Sus scrofa: one gene and its partners. The protein of the gene in region 5 interacts with the protein of the main gene of each other region in a pairwise test. Links are inferred from orthologs where the notes say so. Each region holds a gene or a part of one and is shown on either strand. Other genes may lie near its edges.

What was found.
Region 1: the proteins of PRKAB2 (region 5) and DAO interact in binary tests that used the Homo sapiens proteins (3 or more experiments, as listed by UniProt). The link is inferred for Sus scrofa from reciprocal best matches to the Homo sapiens genes PRKAB2 and DAO.
Region 2: the proteins of PRKAB2 (region 5) and PYGM interact in binary tests that used the Homo sapiens proteins (3 or more experiments, as listed by UniProt). The link is inferred for Sus scrofa from reciprocal best matches to the Homo sapiens genes PRKAB2 and PYGM.
Region 3: the proteins of PRKAB2 (region 5) and AES interact in binary tests that used the Homo sapiens proteins (3 or more experiments, as listed by UniProt). The two-hybrid records come from large-scale screens. The link is inferred for Sus scrofa from reciprocal best matches to the Homo sapiens genes PRKAB2 and TLE5.
Region 4: the proteins of PRKAB2 (region 5) and UBXN11 interact in binary tests that used the Homo sapiens proteins (3 or more experiments, as listed by UniProt). The link is inferred for Sus scrofa from reciprocal best matches to the Homo sapiens genes PRKAB2 and UBXN11.
Region 6: the proteins of PRKAB2 (region 5) and MAGED1 interact in binary tests that used the Homo sapiens proteins (3 or more experiments, as listed by UniProt). The link is inferred for Sus scrofa from reciprocal best matches to the Homo sapiens genes PRKAB2 and MAGED1.
Region 7: the proteins of PRKAB2 (region 5) and CDX4 interact in binary tests that used the Homo sapiens proteins (3 or more experiments, as listed by UniProt). The link is inferred for Sus scrofa from reciprocal best matches to the Homo sapiens genes PRKAB2 and CDX4.

The regions. Positions count from the first base shown.
Region 1 is NC_010456.5:41,947,829-41,951,763, forward strand, and holds the start of DAO (D-amino-acid oxidase), read right to left. Parts: upstream 2,801-3,935; 5' UTR 2,612-2,800; intron 1-2,611. UniProt on the Homo sapiens protein: Catalyzes the oxidative deamination of D-amino acids with broad substrate specificity. Required to catabolize D-amino acids synthesized endogenously, of gastrointestinal bacterial origin or obtained from the diet, and to use these as nutrients.
Region 2 is NC_010444.4:7,408,141-7,412,129, reverse strand, and holds the start of PYGM (glycogen phosphorylase, muscle form), read right to left. Parts: upstream 2,801-3,989; 5' UTR 2,371-2,800; coding exon 2,128-2,370; intron 1,051-2,127; coding exon 949-1,050; intron 861-948; coding exon 782-860; intron 687-781; coding exon 583-686; intron 229-582; coding exon 97-228; intron 1-96. UniProt on the Homo sapiens protein: Allosteric enzyme that catalyzes the rate-limiting step in glycogen catabolism, the phosphorolytic cleavage of glycogen to produce glucose-1-phosphate, and plays a central role in maintaining cellular and organismal glucose homeostasis.
Region 3 is NC_010444.4:75,490,758-75,495,007, reverse strand, and holds the start of AES (amino-terminal enhancer of split), read right to left. Parts: upstream 2,801-4,250; 5' UTR 2,627-2,800; coding exon 2,600-2,626; intron 1,466-2,599; coding exon 1,368-1,465; intron 1-1,367. UniProt on the Homo sapiens protein: Transcriptional corepressor. Acts as a dominant repressor towards other family members. Inhibits NF-kappa-B-regulated gene expression. May be required for the initiation and maintenance of the differentiated state.
Region 4 is NC_010448.4:83,701,016-83,704,515, forward strand, and holds part of UBXN11 (UBX domain-containing protein 11), read right to left. Parts: intron 3,113-3,500; coding exon 3,010-3,112; intron 2,571-3,009; coding exon 2,516-2,570; intron 2,051-2,515; coding exon 1,974-2,050; intron 1-1,973. UniProt on the Homo sapiens protein: May be involved in the reorganization of actin cytoskeleton mediated by RND1, RND2 and RND3. Promotes RHOA activation mediated by GNA12 and GNA13.
Region 5 is NC_010446.5:100,385,044-100,388,543, reverse strand, and holds part of PRKAB2 (5'-AMP-activated protein kinase subunit beta-2), read right to left. Parts: intron 2,332-3,500; coding exon 2,198-2,331; intron 907-2,197; coding exon 838-906; intron 1-837. UniProt on the Homo sapiens protein: Non-catalytic subunit of AMP-activated protein kinase (AMPK), an energy sensor protein kinase that plays a key role in regulating cellular energy metabolism.
Region 6 is NC_010461.5:45,325,539-45,329,782, reverse strand, and holds the end of MAGED1 (melanoma-associated antigen D1), read right to left. Parts: coding exon 3,751-4,244; intron 3,642-3,750; coding exon 3,578-3,641; coding exon of another isoform or gene 3,380-3,577; coding exon 3,300-3,379; intron 3,095-3,299; coding exon 3,003-3,094; intron 2,780-3,002; coding exon 2,700-2,779; intron 2,609-2,699; coding exon 2,566-2,608; intron 2,295-2,565; coding exon 2,232-2,294; intron 1,654-2,231; coding exon 1,539-1,653; intron 1,301-1,538; coding exon 923-1,300; 3' UTR 915-922; intron 710-914; 3' UTR 501-709; downstream 1-500. UniProt on the Homo sapiens protein: Involved in the apoptotic response after nerve growth factor (NGF) binding in neuronal cells. Inhibits cell cycle progression, and facilitates NGFR-mediated apoptosis. May act as a regulator of the function of DLX family members.
Region 7 is NC_010461.5:59,087,899-59,091,930, reverse strand, and holds the start of CDX4 (homeobox protein CDX-4), read right to left. Parts: upstream 2,801-4,032; 5' UTR 1-2,800.

The DNA of each region.
Region 1 (3,935 bases), on a different chromosome or scaffold from region 5:
AGCCATGGTACTTACCCAAGAGAAGAGCATGGGGCTGTGGGGGAGGGGACCCAGAGAAACTGCTGGGTCCAACTAGCCAAGATAAAGAGGAACAAGTTACAGCATGTGGTTCAGTTTCTCCAATGTCTAACATTCTAAAGATGAGCAAAACAGCATCATGCAGAAGGGGAAACTGAGGTCCAGGGAAGAGGGGCCACACAGCCAAAGTCACATGTTTGTGATCCAAGGATCTGTAGAGTCTTGGGATTGAAAAGTTTCCGTGAAAGAGAAGGCCTGGCAATGGGGAAGTAATAATTGCAGCTTCTACAGGAAAGAGTATGAAAAAAAAAAAAAAAGGAGTTCCCATCGTGGCTCAGTGGAAACGAATCTAACTAGCATCCATGAGGACCCAGGTTCCACCCCCGGCCTCGCTGGCCCAGTGGGTTAAGGATCCAGCATTGCGATGAGCTGTGGTGTAGGTCACAGATGCGGCTTGGATCTGGTGTTGCTGTGGCTGTGGCAGCTACAGCTCCACTTCGACCCCTAGCCTGGAAACCTCCATATACTGTGATTGTGGCCCTAAAAAGACACACACACAAAAAAAAACAGTATGGAAATTCCTGAAAAAAAAAATTGAACTGCCATATGATCCAGCAATCCCACTCCTGGGCATCTATCTGGAGAAAACCGTGGCTCCAGAAAAAAGATACATGTACCCCAATGTTCATTGCAGCACTATACACAACAGCCAAGACATGGAAGCAACCTACATGTCCATCGACAGAGGACTGGATAAAGAAGATATGGCACATGTGTACAATGGAATATTACTTGGCCATAAAAAGGAATGAAGTAATGGCATTTGCAGCAAAATGGATGGATCTAGAAATTATCATGCTAAGTAAATTTAGGCAGTGAGAGACAAACATCATATGCTAGTACTTATATGTAGAATCTAAAAAAGGATACAAATGAATTTATTTGCAGAACAGAAACAGACTCACGGACTCTGAAAAATGTGCAGTTACCAAAGGGGACAGGTTGGTGGGGGAGAGATGGACTTGAGATTTGGGATGGAAATGTTCTAAAATTAAGTTGTGGTGATGATTGTACAACTATAAATATAATAAAATTCACTGAATTAAAAAATACTTTCAGCTGCTAGCTTTTCAACTCTTCATATGTGTCACACATTTTTCGAGTCAAGTTCTTCCAGTAACTTGACATACATTATCTATTTTAATCTTCTAAAAACCCTCGAGTTATCATTATGTCCATTTAACAGATGAGACAACTGAGGCTCAGACATGAGCTGGTTAGAAGGAGAGCCCAGGCCGGCCTGATTCTCAAGGCTGTGTGCTTACCCACTGTGCTCTGTGTGCAAACCCCATGATTTGAAAAGAAATCAAGCAGGTGAAGAGAAACAGCTAAGACTTCATGATCCTGCATTGAAAAAAAACAATAAACATAAGGAGTGTAGGAGTTTTTAGTGTGTTGGTGATTGGCATAGAATTGAAAAGGAAATATGTATGCCCTAAGTCAATTATCTTAGTTAAGTGTTTGAATCTAATTTGATATTGATTATAGCAACTTTGGGTGTGTTCATGTGTGTATTAAAATGCAGTGTAAATATATAAGTTTCTGAGCAGAGTCAGCTGCCAGACTATAGGATCTGAGAGACCCAGCCTTGGGGAAAATCATTCATGCATGTGAGTGATGAGCTCCTGGTCACCTTTACACACAGTCCTGTCTTTGTCCAACCCTTGTCTTGTTGTTGCTGTTTTTATTAGCATTGCAGTTTTCTGTTTTATGCCATTGCTTCAACCAAGCGTGCTTGGCCCATGCATTCAGGAAGATGCAAACAGCTGAGGTTATCACATTTGTGTGTGTGTGTGTGTGTGTGTGTGTGTGTGTGTGTGTGTGTGTGTGTAATTATAATGTCTACATATGCATGGAGCAGGAAGGGAATTTTGGCCGTCTGCCACTTGCCAGACACATGCAGATGCAGTACAGACATTTTCTTAATCTGCTCAGCTACTCTAAGAGGTTCTATAGATGTGAGGTTCTGGGAGAGGAAGTCTCTCCCCCAAAGTCACACAGCCAGTATGGGCCAGCATTCTGATCTGGACCCGGTTCTACCTGAGTTTTCTGCATTGCACCGTAGAGCTCTTTAGGCAGCCGGCAATAAATGGGCCACTGACACTTTCTGCTTACTTTTCGGTCTTGCATTTTTTTGCTTATAACCTCCCTTGTCCCTAGAAAGGAACTTAATGCCACTCATGCCTTGGATTGTTACACACACATCAAAAAAAAAAAAAAGAGGAAAGAATTGTTTAAAAAAAAAGATCAAGTCACAGGTGAGATATTGAAATGAGCCCCATATGGCTACCTTTTATGAAGTTTCAGAGTTTATCTTTAAAATGGAACAGATTCTATAAAAGCTTGGCTACCAGCTCCCAGTCCCCCCAAAAATAATTACCATGTACTGCGAACTTGCTATATGCCCAGTTCTGTGCTAAGCCCTTTATAGTCATCACTTCTTTTAATAATCAGATTAAGCCTGTAAAAGGTTAGTTATGATGCCCATCTTCAAGGTGAGGAAACTGAGGCTTGGAGAGGTGAGAGTCCTTACCTGTGGTCCCTTCAAGGTTGTCACCTGCGTCAGACTCTCACGTGAACTTTTTCTGTCGACACTGGGAGGACGCTCAGATCTGCTCCGCCATTGCCCCCGACCCACTCACCTGGCGTGCCGAAATTCTGGAGAAAAGCAGCAGCTGCTGTGGGCACAGGGTCCTCTCTCCTGGAGGGAGGCTCCTGTTCTGGGGCGTCCTGTCCTCAGCCGGGACTGGAGCTCAGGGTCAAAGTCTGGAGTTACAGACAGGGCACAGCAGGGGGTGGGGCTGGGCACCGCGCTGCTCACAGGGGCTGGACTCAGGCCAGGCTGGGAGACCTCACCTCCCCTCGCTCCAGTCCCTGAAAAGTTGCCTGACTTTTCTGGCTGATCCCAAGTCCCTGTGGACAGGCCTCCAGAGAGGGAGGGAGGGAGGATGGGGTTCTTGGAGGGCTAATAGGCACAGGAAGGTCTGTCTCCCGGGCCAGCTGGAGGCGATCCTCTTTCTTCCTTCTTCCTGCTGCCACCCTGGGGGAGGAGGGGGTGGCTCCCTGAGCCTCTGTGAGTCTGGCCTTCGGGGAGACCAGAGGTGTAGGACAGGGGCTCCCCAGGCCAGCCAGCCAGCCCAATGCCGTTCTGGAATGCTAGGTGGCTAAGGCCAAGGAGAGACTCAGGGCAATGCCTGTTTGGACCATAAAGATATGTAGCTCTTGGGAGTTCCCGTCGTGGCTCAGTGGTTAACGAACCTGACTAGGAACCATGAGGTTGCAGGTTCGATCCCTGGCCTTGCTCAGTGGGTTAAGGATCTGACGTTGCCATGAGCTGTGGTATAGGTCGCAGACGAGGCTTGGATCCTGCATTGCTGTGGCTCTGGCATAGGGCGGCGGCTACAGCTCTGATTTGACCCCTATCCTGGGAGCCTCCATATGCCGTGGGAGCAGCCCTAGAAAAGGCAAAAAGACCAAAAAAAAAAAGAAAAGAAAAAAGAAAGATATGTGGCTCTTTGCTCCTGTATCCCAGAGACACAAACGCTGGACGCCAGGTCCCTCCTCTGCCATAGCTAGACCTGGAGCAGAGATCACAGAGTCCAGAGAGCATCAGGCACCTTGCTGTATGGATGGGAAGACTGAGGCCCATGGAGAAGGACCAACCAGCCCTGGGTGAGGCGTCCTTCAGGTCAGCCTTAAAGGTCCGGCCTCTAACCCCCTGCCTTCGACATCACCAAATAAAAACATGCAGATGAACATTGAAAATGCATGCAACATACTAGTGCATAGTATTTTTCTTTAATAATAAAAAATGAAGGTGAACTCCACCTTTTACTTCTATGCTTCCATTTCATTTG
Region 2 (3,989 bases), on a different chromosome or scaffold from region 5:
GCCTCCGGGATCTTTCCCTGTTTCTCCCTGTTTCCTCTAGAACTTCCTCCCCTCCCCATCCCTGGATCCTCCTCTGCTCCCCAGCGTCCCCCTCACCTGTGTGTCCACCCACTTGGCCCCCTGGTTGGTGTGCTCCACTCGGCCATAGAAGTGCACAGGCAGCGTGAATTCGGGTCGCGCCTTCTCCCAGGCGTTGCCATAGCGAAGCCAGTCATCAGCCTCCTCCATCTAAGCCCAAGCAGGTCGGGGAGAAAGGAAAGCAGCGTCAGAGCCAGGCTCACGCCACAAGAAGTGGCGGGCAGGGCAGGAGCAGCAGCTATACAGCCCCTGTATAGGGAGGGCATACATGAAAGACTCTGGGGCAGGCGGGCCCCTGGTCTGGTGGGATAGCCAAGCGGACACGGTGTGTGCATGAGAGTCTGAGAGATCCCACAGGTACGGCCCTCCCATCCCAAGAGATAACGATGGGACTGGGGCCGGGGGCTGGGCCAGTTCTGGATCTATGCACAGATGAATGAGCACATAGGGGGTCTTCCCCCTCACAACCAGGGCCCTACCCGGCCAGGGCCCAAGGTTGCTCACCTGCCAACCCCCAGTGATCTTCTGGTTAAAAATCCCAAACTCATAGCGGATCCCGTAGCCATAGGCAGCCAGGCCCAGTGTTGCCATGGAGTCCAGAAAGCAGGCTAGGGGTGTGCACAAAGGGGTGTCAGAGACGCAACACAAAAGGACCCTTCCGCCCACCCCCGACCCCCACCCCCGTGCCACCCGGCTCATTCACCTGCCAGCCGGCCCAGGCCCCCATTGCCGAGCCCGGCATCCTCCTCCATTTCCTCCAGCTCTTCCATGTCCAAGCCCAGCTAGAAGGGGGAGGGTGTGCCAGTCGTCAGGGCCAAGGGCCAGCGGGTCCATGCTGCAGTCCCTAGGGCTTGCCCCACCCCTACACACCTGGTAGGTGGCCTCATCACAGGCATTTTCCAAGGCCAGGTTCACCATGGTGTTTTGTAGCGTCCGGCCCATGTAGAATTCCAGAGACAGGTAATAGATCCTCTGTCCGGAGAGACAGACGGGGTCAAGGCTGCCCTCGGACATGCATTCAGCCAGGCTCGCTTGGGCCGCACCTCTCACACGTCCTGCCCCATGCCTAGGCCCCAGCATGTTCTTTCCCCGCTTCCTCAGGCTTTGGGGACCCAACAGGTAAGTTCCAGCCCCAGCATTTCTTTTGACTTTTGCACAAATCACTTTTCTTCTCTGAGCCTCAGTTTCCTCATCTGGAAAATGGGGCTGGCTGTATCTCCCTGGGGGGCTGAGGTGCTTAGGAGAGGTGGGAACCCCTTCCTGTGCAGGAAATCCTCCCAACAGCCCCTCAGGGAGTCAGGATGTGGGGGAGCATCTCCAAGGGCTCCCCAGGAGGGGGGGCCAGGCCCAGAGAAAAGTCTTTGGCTCAAGGTCACACAATGACTCAGGGCTAGAGGCAGCCACCTCCCATCTTTGCAGGGCCCAGCTCCCCTTGGCCCTCAAGCCTCTGTCCCAAGAAGGGGCCAGAGAGGCGCCAGGCTCCAGGATGCGGATGGTGCATGGTCTCCTGGTTTCCTGGGTCCCCTCCCTGCCCCACCCGTCTGCCCCTCCCCCACTCCTGCCCAGAGGTGTCAGGTTGCTGACATTTACCAGTGACCCCAACAGACACTTGATCTCCCCCCTCAGCTGCCCCAGCCGAGCCCCACCCGCTCACGGACGCGCTGTGCACACATTCAGTGACATGTCCTTCCACTAAGGGTCCACCCCAGGCCACAGGGGTCTTCCTGCCCCCTCAACAGCCCCTCGCTCCGAGATTCTAGCCGAAAGAGGGGGCTGGACTGTGGGTGGCTCTCAATCAGGGCCTTTGCCACCAGCCTGCCTTGACCTGAGGCCCCTGACCCCCACCCCACCCCTCGCACCCCGCCCCTGGGTCCCCGCACCCATTGCACCTGGCACCCTGCATCTTCCAACCTCAGGAACCTGGAGCGACCCTTTATTTTGCGCCCAAATCCTGACCTCAGGAAAGGGCTGCCACGTGTCACGATCTCCGGGCCCCCCGGGGCAGGGCCCCCCCAGCCCATCCCCCACCCGGGGGGCCCCAAGCAGCACCTTAGGGTCCTTCTCATAGTAGTGCTGCTGCGTGCGGATCCAGCGGCCCACGAGGTGGTCGCGCACGGTGTAGGCCAGCGCGAAGTAGTAGTCGCGGGCGTTGGCCACGTTGCGGTCCTTCACGAGGGTGAAGTGCAGGTGCCGGTTGAAGTTCTTCTTCAGCTCCGCCACATTCTCCACGCCGGCCAGGCCGCGCACGCTGATCTGCTTTCTCTTCTCCTGGTCCGTCAGGGGCCGGGACATGGCTGCGGGAGGGCGGGCCGGACGGAAGGACGGACGGTGGGGACGGGGGCCTGAGCGGTGCCTCCAGCCAGGGAGTGGAGATCCCCGGCCGGCCGGCGATTTAAAGCCCGGCTCTGGGCAGCTTGCCCCGCCTCCTCCCTCCGGGGGAGGGTCTTGGCCTGGGTGCTCCGGGAGCTATTTTGGGGCAAGCGCAGGAGAGGAGAGAGGGGCAGGGAGAGCAGGCCGGACCTCCGCCTGGGCTGGGCCCGGCAGCCCTGTGCGGACCCACGTCCCCCCCCACCCCTCGCACACGGCGGCCCTTCTGCCCTCTGGCCCCCTCCCTGCCTTTTGCAGGGTCAGAGACAAGATGCAGCAGGCGGCGGCGGGCTGGCCTGAGAGGCCTGAGCCTTGACCGGAGCCGCTGGGCTCCAACTTTGGCTGAGGCTGCCCTGCTCTGGGCCCGTTCCTGGGTTCTAGATGAAAGATGGGGCCGGACCTTGGCGGCTGTCCATCAGGGCTCCTTGGAGGGGCCAAGTGGGATGTCAAGGAGGACAGGTCAGGAGCCCCAGCCCCCATCAGAGCCTCTTGGCTTCTGTTCCAGACATTCACAGAAGAGACTGCAAACCCCAAGCGGGGTGACCTCCGGTCAAGCTTCCACGGCAGCCCTGCAGCCGGGTGGGGAGGGACGGGCTGAAGGCCCAGGCGCTGAGGATGAGCCCTAACAGAAGTGCAACTAGCAGAGGATACTGGGTGTCTGCACGAAGGGGCACCGGGACCCTGCGTTCCAGGGGGTGGTATGGGGAAGGTTGCCTGAGGCAGGGCTACAGTGCACACCCCACCCCCCCACCTAAGTCGAGCCACTCTGAGCTCCCCCTGTTGCTGTCCCTCAAGGGGCTCTGAAGTGACCTTTGCAGAGGGATGGTCAGATTACAGGCCAGCTTTGGCTAGGGACCACCAGCCTGGAGCAGGGGCCCCTGGGAACTGTAGTCCTGGGGCCCACAGGCGTAGGAGAAACTGAAGCGCCCCCTTCATGCGCACATGCACGTGCGCGCACACAACACTGGCCAATGATATCAAGTCGCCCATGATGCGGCTGCCAGGTGAGTGGCTGGAGGCCTTCTCCTACCCATCTCTCCCACCTGGGGCCACACAGTGGACAAGGGCTTAGTGGACCAGGTTCACAAGTGTGACTCCACCTGTAAAACGGGCCTCTGCACCCCAGGAATTTGTCTTCATGGCCTGACACCTCCAGACCCCTCCCTTTGAGGCTTTGCCTGCCCCCAATTCACTGCTGGTGCCCTGGCCCCAGCATTCATTTGCTATGTGATCTTGGGCTGGTTGCTCTGCTTTTCTGAGCCTTGAATCCCTTCACCTAATGAGAATATAAAGACCTGCCTCCTCCAGCCCCTGCCTCCTAATCTCGTGGAGGCAGACTTTGGAAGCTGCTTTGTTCTTTGAGCAAAAGAAGACCAGGGCCCAGTGCTATTTCAGAGGATGCCTGAGCCTCCTGGGGCAGAGGGCCCGTGGAAGCAGAGAACTGGGTGTTCTGGCCTGTGGGCCAAGGAAGCAGATCTGGGCTTGGACAGCTGCAGGATGCTATTGAGAGTCTGGCTCAGGGAGGGCCAGGCTGTGTCGGAGGA
Region 3 (4,250 bases), on a different chromosome or scaffold from region 5:
TGGCTTCTCTAATTTTCTTTAAAAATGTACAGTTGCTGCCACTGTTAAAAAAAAAAAAAAAAGGCAGTTTCATTCCAAACTGCATTTCTGGCCCTTCCTGAGGGACTGGCAGATACTGTACCAGTCCCCAACACAGTAGGACTCCTCGCTGTATAGCAGGAAGCCCAGGCCCAGCGGATCGTGACTCCAAAGCTCAGAGAGGGGGCCTGGCCTACCTGAGGTCACACAGCATGAGGCAGCAACCTGACCCTCAGTCTCTGGAGTCAGATCGGCCAGCCAGATTGGATCAGAGGAGAGCAAGGGCCAGGTAGGGAGGGTAGGACCCCTGGAGAGGCTCAGAAAGGCCAGGCCTGACAAGCAAAGCTCCTAAACCCTCCACATCACAGGACCAGAACAAAGCTCCCGGGCCTGCCCTTCAACCACCTTGCCTCAGTTTCCTCACTTTGAAATGGGCATATGATCAAAAAGCAGGGAAGATTCAATAAAAGGATGTATGTTCAGTATTTGGCAAATGGGGAGGATAGGAACACCCCCAAAGGAAAAACAGATCTCACTATTCCTATCTCTTCTTGGAGAAAACTCAGGATCCTTCATAGAACACTTTTGTGTGACCAAACTGAGGTCCAGAGAAAGCCCAAGACCCCACTGGTATCTGTGGCCATGGACCCCCTTCTGATTCTCAAGCAAAGACCCCCTCCGGAGCTAAGGCTTGAGACTTTGCAGTCTTCAACCCAGAAACTGAGTGTGAGAATCTCATTTTGCCACTTCCCTGCTGGGCAACCCCAGGAAACCCCTATCACCTCTGGGTTTAAGTTTCCCTAAATGTAAAATGAAGATAATAATAGTTCCTTTTTCTTAGATCTGGCACATGGCAAGCCCTTTAGAAATGTTAGATTAAATTCTGGAGGGAGCATCGCCTTGCTGCTGGGTGCCAGAAACCTTTTCTCCAAAACTAGGCAAAGAGATAACAAGCTATAGACTTTCTTTTGAGGGGTGGGTGGGGCGATGGAAGATCCAGCCCCCAACTCCAGCTCTTGGGAGGTCTTTTATCCAACGCAGTCTGGGGTGGGGGTGGGGGAGGGGAGAGGGGCTTGGAAACCAGACGGCTGAGTCTTTGGGCAAATTATTTAAATTCTTGTGCCTCAGTTTTCTCCTCTATGAAATGGGACTGTCCTAAAGACTAAATGAATTTAATATCCGTAAGTGTTGGAGACCTGGTCTGCCACATGAGACACTCAATACCGATTTTTTCCCCCCATTCTGTGTGTATAGCAGGGACCACAACTTCAGCTCCAGGCCTCAGTCTTGCCTTCTGAGCAGGGGGCTCCACCTTCACCCAGGGCAGGGACCACCAGCCCTCAGCTCACCTGTGGTACTGAGCCTGCAGGAGCTGAAACTCATCTTTGATGCGGTCGCAGGAGTCCGAGGTGGTGAATTTGAGTTGCTGGGGTAGGTGCGACGAGCCCTGTGGGGAGGGGGCGGCCCGGGTCAGGACCAGGAGGGGGCCGCCACCCACCTTCCTCCCTGAGGGCGCCCCCCCTCCACCAGGCTGCGGCCTGCGCAGCTGCAGCGTCCCCCCACACCCTGCCCCACTTCCCTGGCTGTGTTTACAGCCCCTGGCTCGGCCCCCGCCCTCGCTTCCTGCCCCCGCCTCTCCCCGAGAAGCTAAGGAGGGTGGGTGCTCCCGGAGCCGCTCGTCCCCCTCCACCCCCAGGCTGTGGGGGTGCATTTGAAGGGCCGCCCTTGGTGGGGGGTAGGGTGCGCCCTCTACCGCGCCTCCACAGCGCCGGGAGGGGTTGCACGTCTGAGCGTCCCAACTGCCTCAGGGAGGGGGGAGAACGCGTCCTAGTGAATCCCCCTCCCCAAAGCTGGGAGGCGGGGGCAGGCTTCCTGGCAAAGTCCCCTTGGGAGAGGGGGCTCTCAGCGCCCAAAATCTTCCGGGGGTGCGGGGGCCCACCCCAGATTCCTAGCACCCTTCCTCCAGGCCGCGCGCTCTTCCGGGAGGGGTGCGCCTTGACTCTCCCCCACTCCCAGGCCCCAAAAGCAGCCCCAGCGTTAGAGGTGCCTAGTGGGGCTCCCGGGGCGCCCCAGGCCCCAGGCCAAGGCCAGCGAGGCCCAGCCTGGCTTGGGGTGGGGGTGCGCAGGGTCCAGGGTCTGGGGCGTGCTCTGAGCTGGGGGCAAAAGGGGACCTGGGGGGGCTCTGGGCCCGGAAGCTGGGAGGGGGACCCGGAGCTGGCGGCGGTTGCGGGGGGGGAGCAGCTCTGGGCCCAGAGCTGGAGGGGACTGGGCCCAGGAGTTGGGGGGAGGTGCCGAGCTGGAGGCGGGGGGTTGGCCTGGCAGGGACCTGGAAGGGGGTCGCAGGGCTTGGACCTAGAGGGGGCGCTGGGTTCGGATATGGGAGGGTACGGGGCCCCGACCTGGAGGGACGCAGGGCCCGAACCTGGGGGAGGGAATAGCCCCGGCTGGGAACTGGGGATACCGGGCCAGGACGTAGGGGGACGCAGGGCCCGGAGCTGGGGGGGGTGGCTGGGCTGGGAACCGGGGGTGCCGGGCCCGGACGGGGGGGGGGGGGGCCGCCGGGCCGACGGGCCCCGCTTACCGAATGCCTGCTTTGTGGAAACATCATGTCAGTCGCGGCGGGGGGCGCAGGCTGCGCCCCGGCTGTGCGCCCCGACTCGGGCTGCTCGGGGCGCCGGGCGGCCGCGCCTTTGTCCCGGAGCCGATCGGCAGCTCCCGGGGCCGCCGCCGCCGCCTCCCGCGCCCGGCCTCGCCCGCTTCCTGCGCCCCCTCCCCGCGCGCCCGGCCCCGGCGCGCCCCGGGCCCCGCTTCCTGCGCGCCCGGCGCCCCTCCCCGCCCCTCCCCGCCGCCCGCCTCCCCGCACGCCCGGCCGCCGCTCCTATTGTCTAATGGCGGCGACGCCGGCAGTGGCCGCGGCCTCGGCTGCGCGGAGGCTCCGGCTCCACCTGCTGCTGTCGCCGCCGCCGCCGCCGCCGCCGCTGCTGCTTCCCGGGCCCCGTGCGCGCCGCCGAGGGGGGGGCGCGCGCCCGGGGAGGCCCGCGGATCCCCACCCATCCGCCTCCCCCGGGCCGGCCGGCGCGGTGACCTTGGGCCCGCGCGCCCCCGCCCCGCCGCGGCCCCTCCCGGCCGGGTGGCCTCGGCAACCGCCAGGGCCTCGGTTTCCCCATCGGTCAAAGCTTGGGGCCCGGCTGCCCCCATCGAAACCGCCGGCGCTGTCATGGCGCGACCCGGACGCGTGCCAGGGACATGCTCTGTAACCTTGGCTCACTGGCTTTTCTCTGAGCCTCGGTTTCCTCCTCCGTAGAAAGGCGGGGATGATACCGCCGACCTCCTGGGAGCCATACCTTGACTCACATTAATGGAGCGCCTACTGTGTGCCAGGTGGGGGTGGGAGGGGGTACAGAGTCCCTACCCTGGTGGAGAAGACAGAAGACAGAGAGACCAGCCAAAGAGCCAGGTCCCTGGCAGGTCAGATGGTGGTAACAGCTATAGAGAAAAGAAAGCAGGAGGGAGGGCCGGGAAGATGTGATTTTAAACAGAGGGAACTCAGATGGACCTCTTTGGCCGCTAAGCGGATCTGAAGACGAGAGAGGGAGCCAGTAGGCTATGGGGTTGGTCGCTTATTTTAGGAGGCAGAAACAGCCAGTGCAAAGGTACTGAGGCAGCACTGTGCCTAGCACAGGTGGGGGTGGGGTGCTTGAGAGGAAAAGGGAGCAGAGGGGCAGGGCTAGCAGCTTCTGGAATTTGCACAGAGGCCTGGCTTCCAGAAGGGCCTCTGCTTGGGTGGATGATCTGCTGTGTTGGTCTGGAAATTCCTAATAATTTTTGAATGGTCTTGTTTTGCATTGGGGCCTGCAAATTCTGTAGCTGGTGATGAGGCGGGACAGATGGTGCAGGGCCTTGTGGGCTCAGGGAGGATTTGGGCTTGCTCGGAGTGAGATGGGAGCCCTGTGAGATGGTGGGCAGAGGAGAAACAGGGCTGATGGGGACTTTGATAGGATCTCTCTCCCTTTCCTGTGGAGAGCAGGCCTCCAAGAAACCAGAAATAAGGCACATTAAGTTCCAGGAAGTGCTAAATACATAGGCTCTTAATTGTCACCATCATCATCATCCACTATGCACCTTTGCCTCCTGGATGAATTTAAATTCTTCCAGCCTTGGGTTTTCCCATTTGTAAAATGGAGACTTAGGACCGTGGTCACCTTTCCCAGGAAGATGAGGGTCCAGGACAA
Region 4 (3,500 bases), on a different chromosome or scaffold from region 5:
AACCTGCTGAGCCACCACGGCCACTCCCAGGAAAACGGAGTTGTCTACACTTCCTGCTGCAGCTTCCTCATCTCCATTCTTCTCCTCGACCCACCTCAACCCAGCCTCCAACTCCACAGCTCACTGCAACTGCATACACGCAGCCACCTGCAACCTGCCTCGTGCCTATTCCAGTGGGCGCGAGTCTGCCTTCATCGCCCGCGACACGTGTTCTTCCTCTTCAGTTTCAAATCCCCAGCCATCCGCACGTACATGGCTAACAGGCATCTCAAAGTGAACCCGGCCTAGTCATGACTCCTCGCCCCGACGTCTCCCACACCTCTTCCCCCCAGGCTCCCTTGTCGCCATCAACGGAGAGGCACTGCCTCCGTCGGAGCTTCATCCAGGACTGTTCCTCTCCCTGCACCCCAGGACCCACAGGGCCCGTGACACCAGCTCCCAAGCAGACTGAATCTGTCCACTCTCTTCCCTTTCCCCTGGTTCGGGCCACGGTCACCTCCATCTTGGACAAACCGCGCTGCTCCCTGCCTCGTCCCCCGGCACTCTCCTACCTGAGAGCTTCCTATGGTTTCTCATTCTCAGGGACTCTGCCCCCTGCCCTGCCCCCCAGGATGTGGTCCCTGCAGCCTCTTCTTCCTTCCGCTCCCCACAACAACCCCACCCACCCAAGCCTGGTCTGCATGGCAGGAGGTGGAGGCTCATCTCTTCAGCCTGGATCCTCATTCCCTGGCTCCTTCCTCATCTAGTTCTCTTGCCCAATGTCACCCCACAGAGAGGCCCAGGCTAGTCTCTGCTGTGTCACCCATTTAAATATTTCACCATATTCCGTACTTGTGTGTCCTCCTCTGTACTGGCCCTCTAGCCTGTCAGCCCCCTGAAGCCAGGAACCCTGTCTAATCCCAGGGCCTGGCAGGGTGCCGGGCACACAGGAGACTTTGTATGCGTTTGCTAAATCGATGCCGCCCTAAGTGTGTGAACAATATGATCGGAGGAGCTGCAATGCCCTCCGCCCTGAGGCTCTGGGGGGGCGGCCCTCACGCCCTGTGGCAGCTGCTCAGAGAAGCCCCACTGGCTGCCAGCGGGGAGCAGCTGTTTTCCCACAGCCCCGGTAGGAACAGGCTGGGTGGGCGGGCTCCTCGGCTGCAGCTGGGGCTGGGGGGCCGTGGGGGGCCGAGGGGGCGGTGTGCTTCTGTGGTCTTAAACGAGGTTGGGGCTTTGAAAACCAACTGTGCGGTGAAGGAGAGGTTAGACCCCAAGAAGAGCTTCTGGCGGGGGCGGGGGTCCAGTAAGGGAGTGTGGGTGGCGCTGAGGAAGGGGCCTACCCAGCACCCTCCCTTGAGCCTGGAGACCCTCTGGTTCAAGCCATGTTTTGTGAATGGGGGCAAGAAAGGTGACAATGGGTGAGATTCCACGTTCAGAGGCAGGGAATGGTTTTGCCCAATGGAGTGAACATGTATGGCCAGGCCCCCGCTCTAGGTCCCGGGCACAGGGCAGTGAACACGGGAAAAGCAGCCCCTCCCTCACGGAGCCCACAGGCCCAGGGGAAGAGAGCTGGGGTGCTAAGGAGGCCCATGATGGAGACCCTGCCCTCGTCAGGGGTCCAAGGGGGTCCCCCGGGGAAGGACCCCCTACTTGGACTTGACACAGAGGATGAGTGAAAGTTCACCAGGGGAAAAAAATACTTGGGGTGGAAGCAACAGCACGGACCAAGGTCCCGAGGTGGGAAAGGGCTTGATGGAGTCAAAAACCTGAGGCAGGTCCCCAGGACTAGAGGGGAGAATGGTTCAGGACGGGGTGGGGGGGGGGGCAGCCAAAGCCTGAAGTGGGGGTGGGCCCCGGCCCTGCCCTGGCTCCTGGAGCTCTGGGGGAGTCCTGACTGGGGAAACCCTGTGTGGGGTGGGGCGAGGGGTCCAGTGAGGTGGGCTCTGACCCAGTCCCTGGGGGCAGACGGCCCTGGCCACCGCCTCCCTCACCTCCATCTCCCCGACCTGCCGCTGCAGCTGAGTGCACGTTGCTTCCAGCTCCTCCTGCCGCCGCAGGGTCACTGAGCCTTCAGGGAAAGACAGGAGGGGTTCCTCTGCCCCAGCTCGGAGGCTGCCAGGCCACCTCTGACCGTGACCAGAGCTTTGGCCTGAGGGTCACCTGCAGAAGCTGCCCCTTGAGAACTTGAGGGGGTCCCCTGAGAACCGCCTCTTGGCCTCTCCACCTGACCTGGAGAGGGGTGCCCTGACTGACTCTCAGGAGGCCGCCAGCCTCACTTCCCCGCTCCCCCCAGAGCGAGGGGCTGAGGGGGCTGGTTTCCTCCAGGCTTCTGATGGCAAACCCTGAGCTCAGAGGACTCAGTCCCACACAGCAGAGCACCGCCCCGGGTGTGTCACGGCTCCCCTCTGGGCTCTGCTGTCCAAAACCCACCGAGGACTCAGCTTGATGCTTTTGGAGCCCTGCTGCCCAGGGATCACCGGCCCAGGGGAGGTACAACAGGAGGGCTGACCAGCCCGCTGTGAGGGTCTCTTACCCTGGTGCTCCTGGAGGGTCTCCACCAATTCCTCCAGGGCCCGTATCTTCCGATCCTGCAGCAAGGCGGGAGGGAGCAGGCATGGTGGTTCCCAGAGCCCAAGGGAGCCCCTTGCAGATGGGGAGATGCAGCATAAAGTCCCCGCCCGCCTTGGTACCGCCACCACTCCTGTACTGACCCTTGTGGTTCCACCGAGGTGGGAAGCACCCCCAGGCGCCCAGTACTCCGTAGCCACTGCTACCACCCAATCTGAGGTCTATAGGACTTGCTCAGATGTGGAGGAGACCCCTTAGCCCCTCTGCTCAGGTCACGGGGACCCAGATCAGTTCCAAGTCAGACTAGCCCTTGAGTTGGGCGGTTTGTTCAGGGAGATGGTTCTAGAACCTGTCCACCCTGGCCCATTGCAATAGTAGCCTCACTATGAGTAGCCTCCCCAGCCCAGGCCCTTCTGCCCCTTAGACCGGACTCTGGCCCTTTACCGGCAGGGGCCTCACCTTGAACAGCATCTCGTCAGCCTGGGCCTTCACCTGCTGCTCCAGATCCCGCAACTTCTTCATCATGGTGGCCACCAGCTCCGAGTCGTGGGACACAGGGACTGCCAACCAGACAGAGTCCTAGAGCCCAGGCCTAGAGCTGGGTGGGGGGGTGGGGGTATGGGGGTCCAGGGTTGGGGGAGAGGGCTCCATGACAGCAGAAATAAGCCTGGTTACAACCGCTGCCACCTAGATAACGGGGACTGCCTACAACAGTGCTCATAGATCAGCTTTGCTGAGGGAATGAACTGCTTCGGGAAACTGAGGCACAGAGACTCAGTAACGTGCCTAAGATGTACAAGGAAGCAGTACGACATCGGGTCACATCACCGTGAAGCACTCTCAGCAAGGTCACCCTCTGTTGAATCACTTCTCTAATCTCAGCCCTCATTCCCAGGAAAGACGGTGGATAGAGGACAAGTTAAAGGGCACCAAGACAAAAGACGTGCGAC
Region 5 (3,500 bases):
AATTTAATTTTTTTATATATATTTAATAAGTACCACATTAAAGACAGCTGTGTCATTGACTTCCCTAATCTGATTGCACGTCTAAGAAATAAAAGCAGCTTAAAAAAACTGGGATCCATCCTAGATGCACTCCTTCAGAATCCCTGGGGATGGAGCCTTTGAATCTGTATTTTTTACAAACTTCCCCCAAATGATTCTGACGATGTTCAGCTTAGTTTAGAAACTATAGGGCTATATCAAACTTTATTCGAATAGCCAGACCACAAAGACATGGTAAGACTGAATGGATATTTTCAATGCAGAGTGTAAAGCAGCTGAGAAACCGAGAGGCGTTCTAGGACTTGGGAGGGCACAGGGCAAATCTAGTCACATTTCTCCTTTACTTAGTGTATAAGCAAGATGCAAGCAATTGGGTATATGTGACTCAGGCACCTGAAAGCAGTCCATGTACACCTTTAAAAAAGCAGAAGCCTTAACTAACATCACATTCAAGCATTCTCTGAATTGGAAGGTAAACTTGCTTTTTTCTGAAAAGGAAATCCTAGTACTATGAACTCAAACTTAATTAAGTAGGTGGTACAAAGGTTACAGCTACCCAAAAAGAAACCAGGAAGCAAAAAGTCCGTTTAATCACAGGGCAATTCAGCTGGACAGAACTCAGATAGTGAGACTAAGATTTAAAACAAACTCACCCACTAGTTTAAAAAATGGATTTGACCATTTCTGCCAGCTTCAGCTTCAGTGAAGAAACAGAGCAAGAAACTACTGGAAAATATATGTTCAACCCATGCCCTCCGATTTTGGGGAGCTTTGTGAAGAGCCAGGCCCACCACTTACCTTAATGGACAATGCATAGAGATGGTTCAGCATAACATGATTGGGCTCAGGTAGCAAGGCTGGGTCACACTAAAAGAGGGGGAAAAAAAAACCCCCAAAAAACAACTAAGTGGGGTTAAATGCACAATGTTAAATCAAAGATCTTAAACCAAAGAGTTTATTCTTCCCAGGGCTCTTTGGAACTGTTGAGAAACTCAAAACGAGAATGTATTATCTCTTTTAAATAATGCACTTAGGGAGTTCCCACTGTGGCTCAGTGGTAACAAATCCAGTAGTATCTATGGGGACATGGGTTCAATCCCTGGCCTTGCTCAGTGTGTTAAAGATCCAGTGTTGCCATGAGCTGTGGTGTAGGCTGCAGACATGGCTCAGATCTGGTGTGGCTGTGGCTGTGGCGTCGGCCAGCAGCTGTAGCTCCAATTCAACCCATAGGCTGGGCAATTCCATATGTCATGGGTGTGGCCCTAAAAAGCAAAAATAAATAAATAAATAAATAAAGCACTCATCCTCGTATATATCAATACATTCCCATTACACAATATTCGGAAAATTCTGAGCCTGGGGCAGAAACCCTAAGCCTCAGCATCTATTCATACTCTTTAATAGGACTAAAGCAAAAACCTTGCCCACAACACACAAAGAAGATTTGTATTAAGAGGCAAAAATAATCTTAGTGGGAATCAAGTGAGTTAACTAGGGATGTAAATTATATGCAAAATATACTTCTTTTGGATAACTGCAAATGATAAGTACTTCTCATCTTATGTTGGAATTAAAAATGTTAAAAACTAGTTCTATCAATCCATAGCTCTGGGCCTGATATATTAGGATCAGAAGACAAGTATAAATTTTTTTTTTTTTTTTGTCTTTTTGTCTTTTGTCTTTTGTTGTTGTTGCTATTTCTTGGGCCGCTCCCGCGGCATATGGAGGTTCCCAGGCCAGGGGTTGAATCGGAGCTGTAGCCACCAGCCTACGCCAGAGCCACAGCAACGCGAGATCCGAGCCGCATCTGCAACCTACACCACAGCTCACGGCAACGCCGGATCGTTAATCCACTGAGCAAGGGCAGGGACCGAACCCGCAACCTCATGGTTCCTAGTCGGATTCGTTAACCACTGCGCCACGACGGGAACTCTTTTTTTTTTTTTTTTTTTTTTTTTGACAAGTATAAATTTTGATATAAGTACCTGGAAAAGTCACAACTTAGCCCTGGAAAAAGGAACCTGCAATACTACTGATAAGTATATGATTTATACTCAACATAACTTTTTAATAATCCCAACTTCTAGAATTACATAACTTTGGCTCAAATGGCCCTAGTGACCCCCAGATGCCCCAATAATACTCTTAGGATACTCACAGATATATTAGTGTCCTTGTTAAGAATAACTTGGAGAAGGTGGGGAGGCAGGATGGGTGGGGATTTGAATCTCTCCTCTGATCGAAACACATACATTTCTTGACCATAAGGCCCTGGGGGTGAGCTGGAAAGGTCTGGAAGATATTTATACAAATATAAGGGAAAGATGGGAAGCTACAAAAAATGCAAGAAAAAACTGTCAATACATGGCAGCTAATACTAAATATGGTAAAAGACAAGAATCATAAAGTTGGAGTTCCTACTGTGGCACAGTGGGTTAAAGCAACTGGTGTTGCCACAGCTGCAGCAAAGGTCACAGCTTTATATAATTATTATTATTATCTTGTGGCCACGCCCAAGACATGCAGAAGTTCCAGGGCCAGGGATTGATCCCACACCACAGCAGAGACAATACTGGATCCTTAAGCTGCTGCACCACCACAAAACTCCCAAACAGATAATTATTATATTATTAATTATACTTTTAGAACCTGCACAAGCCACCCTTGTGCCCTGAGATTCTAATATGCCCAGTTCAGGTATTGTGTCTCAGCTGAGAATCACAGAAAGTCTAAGCCTCTGATTTTACTGATAAGCAACTGAGAACCAAAAGCATTGAAGGTCTCATCTGTGATGGCAAAGCTAATTAGTAGCAGAGGCAGACTTTGCGTTCACAAGGAAGAAGTGTGCTTCCTTGGAACACACTTCTTTAGACAATCAGAGCCTTTACTGTAAAGTTACAAAATCGATAACTGTGAATATGGATAGCAAATTATTTTTCTGGTGCTATAGCCAATGTAAGTAGAGATGAGGGGCTTGGAAAAAATATTGTGAGAAACAAAAGTATATAGGTCTTTCCTCTAACAAGGAAATTTTTTTTTTTAACCAAAAACTTTAAAAACTTCAGTTAACATACACACAATAGAAATATGAGTTTTTTTTTTTAATATAATGATTTTTTATTTTTTTCATTATAGCTGGTTTACAATGTTTGGTCAATTTTCTACTGTACAGCATGGTGACCCAGTTACACATACATGTATAGATACTTTTTTCTCAGAAATGTGAGGCTTTTTTTCTACAGACTGACTTAAGTATAGGGCCTTATAAAATTATAGAACTGCCAAATGAGCTATCAAACTGGCAGGATTAGGCTGAGGCAGTTAAAGAAGGCAAACCAAACTCAACTAGCCCCTGCTAGTTGACACTGTTAAAGGTCAATGAAAAACGTGAAATATTACTAGAAAGAGCTTTTAAAACTACAGGAGTTCCCATCATGGCTCAGTGGAGACGAATCCATGAG
Region 6 (4,244 bases), on a different chromosome or scaffold from region 5:
AGGAAACTTAGGAACCATGTTCACAGTGTTCTCTGTTCCTATTTCTGCCCCCATCTTGGAGTTATTCACTTTCCACATGGATAATACAACCAACACCCTGGAGTCCCCAGAACATTATCTCCGGGAACAGTCATCTTCCCTTCCCTTCAGCCACCCACTCTTTGAACTTTATTATTACCTGGAGTTCTGCCTCTTCTGTCTTCTTAAATGCAACTGTCTGACCACCTACACCCTCTCTCATTATTTCATCTTTCAATGTCACTCCAAAGCACCTAGCAGAGTATCTATCACATATGAGTCACTTACATGATATTTATTAAATAAGCCATACTTTTTCTTGGATCTCATTAGCATTCATGTTCGTCAAGCCCTTGTTTCCCAATCCATTAGCCAGAAAACTAATCTGCCTCTGTGTTAGGCTAGAACTGAGGCCCCGTCTCTCCCATATAAACAAGTTGATCTCTCCCTAAACACAGAAAAAAACAGGGAACACATCTAACTCACTTTGCAGTTTCAACGTTTATTTCTGATACCAAAACCTGACAGCACACAAGGGGGAAAAAAGCAATAGACAAGGAACAGCAAATAAATTTATCTTGCATGCCACTTTCAGTCAACAGGATGTGGCTCTCTAGATAGCTGTGTTTAGAAGGATTCTGAGGCTTCAGCCTCACTCAGGGGAAAGACTGTTGCAACTGATTAGCAATACCTGTGAACATAAAAAAGAAAGAAAATTAAAAATCAATGCTATATACCAAATAAGGAACAAAAATACCAAATGGTGCTTCCCCATACCTTCCTCATCTCCCCACCATGGGTTTCCTAGGACTCCCAGCTAGAGCACATAAATACATTCCCATGGACTCTACATCCCCAATGACCCTAAATGCCCAATTCCAAAGTGATATACCTACCCAACATCTCACTCAACCCAGAAGAAACCAATGGCACCAAAGTTGGCAGCAAAGTTGGCACTGGCTGTACCACCAGGGCCAATAATGGGGCCAGCGAAGGTCTGAGGAAATCTGGAGCGAGCATTCTGGTGGTATCTGGCCCAGAAGGTAAATGGGATTCTGGACCAGGGATCTCCAAAATCTCCTTCCTCATCCCAGGTCAGCAGCTCAAATTCAATGTCATCCCAGCTCCAGGGCCCAGATACGGCCTCATCTCCAATCCCCATGCGGGTTCTCGCCTCAGCCCGGGCCTCTGCCTCAGCTGCAGCAGCATCCAGAGCATCTAAGGCCTCATCTGCAGCCTCCATGAACTGTGCAGTCCAGTCACGAGGGTCTCTCTTCTGAACCTGAGATAAGGAATAGAAAATAAAACCAAGAATAGTATTCATTAATATTTATGAAGCACCTGCTATATATTTAACGCCCTACGTTGTGCTACTGTTTGCACAGTAACAACAACAAATGCCACCAATGATGTGGCACCTACATGTGCGATACCTAAGATCTCATTCCTGCTCTGGACTTTTCCCAGCCAGTCATACTTCATCCCTTGACCTAGCAAGTCTGGAGCAGTTCCTCTATTACCTCTGCAATGAATCTCAGCACTTTCATCTTGCTAGTCTCATGGTAGGAACGGAGGCCCCAGAGGAACTCATACTCAGGAGGGTTGCTGTTGGGCACTCGTCTGTAGTCTAGGTACCTTAGAAAGAGCAGAAAGGCCTTTGTTTCTACCCAAGCAGAATGATAGTCCATCAGTGCATAATAATGCTAGATTCTGACACCCCAGATTTCAGGTACAACTCCCCCCAGTCTCATTCCTGAACAGATTGTTTACCCTCTAATAATCAGGCCTTCACGTTCCTGTGCCAGTGCTTTTACACCCAGCAATCACCCAGGGCTGGAGGGTGACTGGCGTAGGGTCATAGAAAGGACAGCACTTAATTTCACCCCCTTTGTCACAACAGCTCTAGCTCCAGGGTCTTGTAATTTTGTCATTGAGCCACAAATAGGCCCACTGCAAAAGCCTCAGCCAAGCCCAGCCTTGGAAATACCTACTGTGGGCATGGTGGACAGGCTCCACTTGCAAGATAACTATACTGCAGAAAAGTTCAACTATAAGGAGTATACTCAATAAATACTCCTGAGTACACATGTGTGTCTGTATGCCTGTGTATAGGTATAAGTGAGTGTAAGAAATGAGCATAAGAGGGGCTTTCTGAGGCTGACCAGCACACAGAACTCATGAGGACCACACAAAGTCGCTTAGGCATCACTTACTTTTGCTTTACAAACTCGTAAGTGAGAAGTTTCCTCAGATCACCAAGGAGGGGATGTCTCACCCTGAAAAAAAAAAAAAAAAAAAAAAAGAACTCATAATCAGAGACTATGATATTGCCCAAAGAAAAGCAAAGCGTTTTCTAACACAGAGGTCACAGGCAAGAGAAGAGGCAGAGAGGTCAGAACTATTTCCCGTTCACCCAGGTCACATCGTTGGGCTCTGTACCTCCCCAAACCAATTCCCCTAGACCGCCAGGCTGATGCAATCCTGGGACCATCCTCTGTTACCAAAGGATGATATAAACAGGCAAGAGATGAGAGAGCCCAGTCATACCCAGGACGCAGTCCCATCTTGCGTAGTGCCTCCCAGAGGACAGCTGCAATGGGAGGCAAGGGGAGACAAGGGACGGAAAATGAGCATGGAAATCAGGCGGTAGCCAACCCCCAGTTGCTTGTCCAGCCACTCACCTTCACTGGCACGGTTGCCATTCATGAAGATGACACCCAAAATCACTAAGAGGAGACCCAGCTTGGGTGTGTCTTTGGTCCTAAAGGAGCACAAAAACAATACATTTTCAACAGCCATATGAATGCGACGCCCCAGGCAACTCACCCCTCTCACTTCCCTAGTTAGGCTAGGAGAGAATTCTATCCCAGTTCTGCACATGACCCTGTTATGTGACCTTGAATCCTGGACCTTGACCTACTTGAAACTCCCAGGAAAAAAGCACCCCTGAGAAAGGCCATGTTCCACCTCCCTTCCCATCTTACGTTCCCAGTATGCCAGCCAGGGACTCGGGGGTACTGATGAGAATATACAGGTGTTCTTCTTTGTCAATTTCCTTCAGTTGAATTCCAAATTTCTACAGGGACCAAAAAAAAAATCAGACTATGAAATTACAAAATCTAGCATAAGCTACCCATATTCAGTCACTCCCCTCCCTGTGACACTCACCCTAAATTCCCAGTAGGGATCCTATGAAATCTTTGAAATCGAGACTTTCCCATAATATCTATTTTTAAAAAAACCTTCCCCATCATTCCTGTCCTTCAGGGCTGCCTTCTCACCTTCTCTAGGACAAAACATGCGCGTTCAATGATTTCTGGATACACATCAGTGTATTCACGGATGATATCCCTCAGCATTTCTGCAGGAGAGAGGAGGGAGCACCTGAGCTGAGGCCACAGAACTACAACCTCTTTGCCAGCCCTGCTGAGGGGAGCAATGTCCTCAAGGGTGGAAAAGGAAGACTCAATTGCAGAAGGAGGGGACTGAAGGGGAAGGGACATGAGCAAAGAAATGGCCACACAGGGCAGAGCTCTGGGAGAGGGCACTGGATGCCCACCTGAGCGCTTGATGGGCACCTTTGTGTAATCTTTAAGCATCAGGTACTTGACCAACTTGTTCGCCTGAGAAGGAAAAAAGAAAGCATTAAAGTTATAAGCGATTTACAGGCCACTTGACAAGAGGGAAAAGAGCAAGAGGGAGAGGGAAAGTGACTGCAGTTACAATTCTTACTCTTTCCTGAAGAAGGGCCACATCTCGGGGCTGTGAGGCACCCAGGTTCTGTGAGGCACGCGAGTTGGGAGAGGGGCGCAGGTTCGGTGAGGGGCGCAGGTTCTGCCAGTCAGGTGGAACTGGCCAATCAGTGGGAATCCAGTCAGGTGGGAGCGGCCAGTCAGTGGGAAGTGGCCAATCAGGTGGCAGTGGCCAGTCGGGGGGCAGTGGCCAGTCAGGAGGGCCTTGCCAATCTGGAGGACCCTGCCAGCCTGGTGGAGTCTGCCATCCAGGTGGGGTCTGCCATCCAGGTGGATTTTGCCAGGCCAGTGGGTTCGGCCAGACAACTGGACCAGGCCAGACAATGGGGTTTGGCCAGATCACAGGATTCTGCCAGATCACTGGGTTTGGCCAGATCACTGGGTTCTGCCAAGCAACTGGGTTTTGCCAGGCTGGTGGGGTCTGCCTAGCTGGGGGGCTCTGTCGTGCTGGTGGGGTCTGCCTGGCTGGCTGAT
Region 7 (4,032 bases), on a different chromosome or scaffold from region 5:
AGAAAGGAACACCCTAAGCCATCCTGAAGTCCCTGTAAGGCCCTAACCCAACTTTGAGAAGCAGTAGGTAATCAGTAGGTTAGTCCGTAGCTGTGCTGCACGCTCCTCTGCGCCCCTCAGACTACTCCATCGGCATTTCCTACCCTGACAGTTTCCAGGTGACTGGTAGCCCGGTATAGATGGGCCCCCAAAGGCTGGGCTGACGTCAAGGGGCTTTAGGCTTTTACATAGCATTTGCATTCAAATGAACGGCCATTTCACTTTCACAGGGATTGTTCACTCTACACTCCCTCTCCCAGAGCTCTGGGGCCTTTCTGTCTCTTTCTCGCTTGAGTCCGTCTGGTTCCGTGGCACTAATTTTGCACTTTTGGAGGCAGGAGCTTCTCTAAAGCTCCCTCTAAATTGAGATGGAGGCGTGCAGAATCAGGGCCAAATTCTACTCTTTGGGATTCAGTCCTTACTCCAGGGTCTCTTCCCTTTATGTTGATTGTCCCATACCCAGCCTGCATCCGTGGTATCCTCTCTGCCCACATTCCCTGTCACCAGTACTCCACATGGCACTGGCCCATGATACCACTGAAAGGGGTTTTCCCTTCTCTTCATTGCCCCTTCCACCAGGAGGAGAGCTTTGTTTTTAAGGACAGAAATTCATTTCACAATTATATATTATGTGCCTACAGTCTGCCAGGCTGTTGTAGACATGAGGACAGAGCAGTGAACGAGAGAAACACCGGTGCTATGCCTTCTTAAGGTTACATTCCAGTAGATGGAAGGCCGGATTAATTTGATGTTTTACAAGTATGCACAAATTAAAGAAAGATGAAGAGAGGAGGTTATGAAAAAAAGGAAGGAAAGAAGGAAAATACTCATGTGGGTAGTGGGCTTCCTTATTTTCTTGACAGTTCACTAGTCTTTCTTGGGTGTCTTTCTGCTAAGGCTGGCTTCTGCCTCAAAGTCAATACCCCAAGGAGCCAAATTCCTGCAGTCTCAAACTCAGGGCAGCTGCAACTCTAACTTTCTTTCACGCTTGAGAAGATTTCCTTCATAAAGCTCCATTTGTTGAAAAAGACATGGACTTGCCAGTAGATAGCCACAAACTCAAGATTTTGCTTCAAAAAAACCAGATTACCTCCTGACAACAAAACCAATCTGAATCCCAGGACTCCTTCTTACCCACATACTCCCTCACCCCTCCCCTTCCCCAAACATACCATAACCTTTAGTTCAGGTTGTGCTTCTACTGGAGGACCTTGCTCCTTTATACTGTCCAACCCAACCTGGCATTTCCATTAACTAATCCCTCTTTAGCTTTGGGAATATCACTTCATCTCTAGAGTTTCAGGGTTTTCCCCTGTGTGATAGGAATCCTAACTGTCTGCATTTACAAGGCAGGATATCCTGAGATAATGTATGCAAACTGCCTAACTTAATACACAGCATGGCACCACTGTACTCATTAATTTACTCAACAAATATTTATTGAGGGCTAGGTGCTATTCTACGCATGGAGACATCAATAGTGAACAGACAAAGCTCTTTACCTTATTAAGCTTATATTCTCAAGGGGGGAGATACTAATAAGTAATTAAATTTTATGGTATGTTAGATGGTAATAATCAATATTGTGAAGAAAAATAAAGCAGGAAGGACAATAGGGAATGCTGGAGGGTGTTGCAGTTTAATATGCAGTGGTCTGGGAGAACCTTACTTAAAAATGACATTTAAATAAAACATAAAAGAAGTGATGGAGTGAGCTATGAGGAAAGGATCCAGACAGAGGTAACAAGTGAGGAGACAATGTCTGTCTTCTATTGGAGAAATAGCAAGAAGGAAATTGTGGCTAATGAGCAGATTAGGTTCAAAAGCTAATGAGGGTAGGTCATTTTAAATTTCTAAGTTTATACTCTAAGTCAGGTAGGGAGACATTGCAGGGTTTTGAGAGTGACATGATTTAAGTTTTGAAAGCATCACTCTGGCTGTTAGATTAAGAATTGATTGTAAATGAGCAAAACAGAATCAGGATGATTAGTTAAAAGGCTATTGCAATAATCCAGGTGAATAGCATTGGGGATGGAGAGAAGTGGCTGAATTCTGGATATGGTATGAAGCCTGCTTTGGAGAAGGAGAAGGAACAGGAAGTAATTGGTCAATGAAGGCTAATTAAAACCTGGCACTGGGGAGAAGAAACTAAAGAGCAGGAAAGTCACATATTTATAGGCACTTTTTATACATGATCGCCTTTCATCTTTACAACACCCCATGAGTTATTTATTTTCATTCCCATTTTAAAGATGAAGAAACTGAGGCTCAGAGAAGTGGCATGACTGTGTAAATGAACTACTGATGTGTAGTAGAGCTAGGTTCCCATCCTAGGCAGACATGATTGCAAAGTTCATGTCCTTAAATTGGAACCAGGCAAAACATACAACCTCAGGTCTGGGGCTTGGCTTCTGCTCAGGCTCCCAGGCCTGGCTTTCAATCTTTTCCACAACATAGACCCAATACTCTTGTATTATTCTCTTTCATGTATTCTATCCTGATGCAAACTTGCCTACTTGATATTTGAAATGCAATGTCAGGATGAAAGCCCATGGAGGACCTTTAAAAGTTAGCTAACCAAATATCATTTTTACCTATGAGAAAATGGAGGGCCTGAGTGGGGAAGGTTTTCTTTAAGGCAGTGAATGGCAGGACTGAGATTCAAATTCAGGTCAGTTGACTCCCAGATCAACACTTTTTCCACTAAAAAATGTATGTTTGCTTATGTGCTTATGCAAGTCCCTTTGTCTAGACTTTTTTTTTGGGGGGGGGGCTAGGGGTCAAATCAGAGCTACAGTTGCCAGCCTATACCACAGCCACACCAGATCCAAGCCACGCCATGGCAACACTGGATCCTTAACCCACTGAGCGAGGCCAGGGATTGAACCTGCAACCTCGTGGTTACTAGTTGGGTTTGTTAACCACTGAGCCACGACAGGAACCTTTCTAGACTGTTTTTATCAATAAAAATTGTTAAAAGTCTCCCTATTCTTCAAGACTCAGCTCAAATTACTCCTCCTCCCTAAAGCCCTATGTTATGATGCTCCTCTCAGAAAGTACTTTCCCTCTTGTTTAAATCCTGTCATCAATTCCCCTCCTTCACTGACTAATACTATTCTTGTCCACCTTATTTGGGGTCTTAGCTGAGTCTTTTGGAATTTGAGAGGATGTGAGGAGGTGTGTTTGAGCCCTGTAGAGTGGAGTGTCATGCACATGATAGGATTTCAAGAAATATTTGTGTTCTGAATCAATAAATGACCTTGGAATCAGAGATTGGAAATCATCATTTTGACTCTGCTCTAGGGACATATGGAAGAGAACCCAGTAAGTACATTGTTCAGTGCTGGGCAGAACCTGGCTTCAGGATTACTTGGTTTTGTGTTTTTGTTTATTTGTTTTTCTGGCAGTAGGAGTGGGAGGATAGGGAGGTGGGAGAGTAGGGAAGTGGGAGAGAGAGGTGGACCAGCAGGGAGGTTAAGTCTAGTTTATTGGACTGGAAATTTTGATTTCTTCTCCCTTTTTTTCTTTAACCTGGAGATTAACCAGAGAGGCAGCCTCACAGGAAGCAGAATTACCAGCAACAAAAGTCAAATCCCATGAGCTAAAGATCAGGGCTTCGGCTGTGCAAGGATTATTCAGCACCACTAGGGAGTGATCAGTTAGTTTTTCTGAGACTTAGAGAGGCGTGGGTCAAATGGGGCTTCAGTTAGACACCCCTCCACTACCCAGCTCTGAGCCGACCCCCACAACCAGGTTATTGTAAGGCCTGCAGGAGATAATGGATGTGAGATTGCTTTATAAATAGTACAGTCCACCTGTGATGGACTATGGGGATCTGGGTAAGCCTTTTCTGTAGCAGGCTTAATGCTTAGGAGGATCTCACTGTCTGGTAAATATTTTATAAGCCTGGTCTGGCCTCTCAGGGCTACCAGAATAGGCCAGCCCTACTCTCTACTGCCCTCAAACCTCTCCCACTTCCCTGGCCCGGATTTT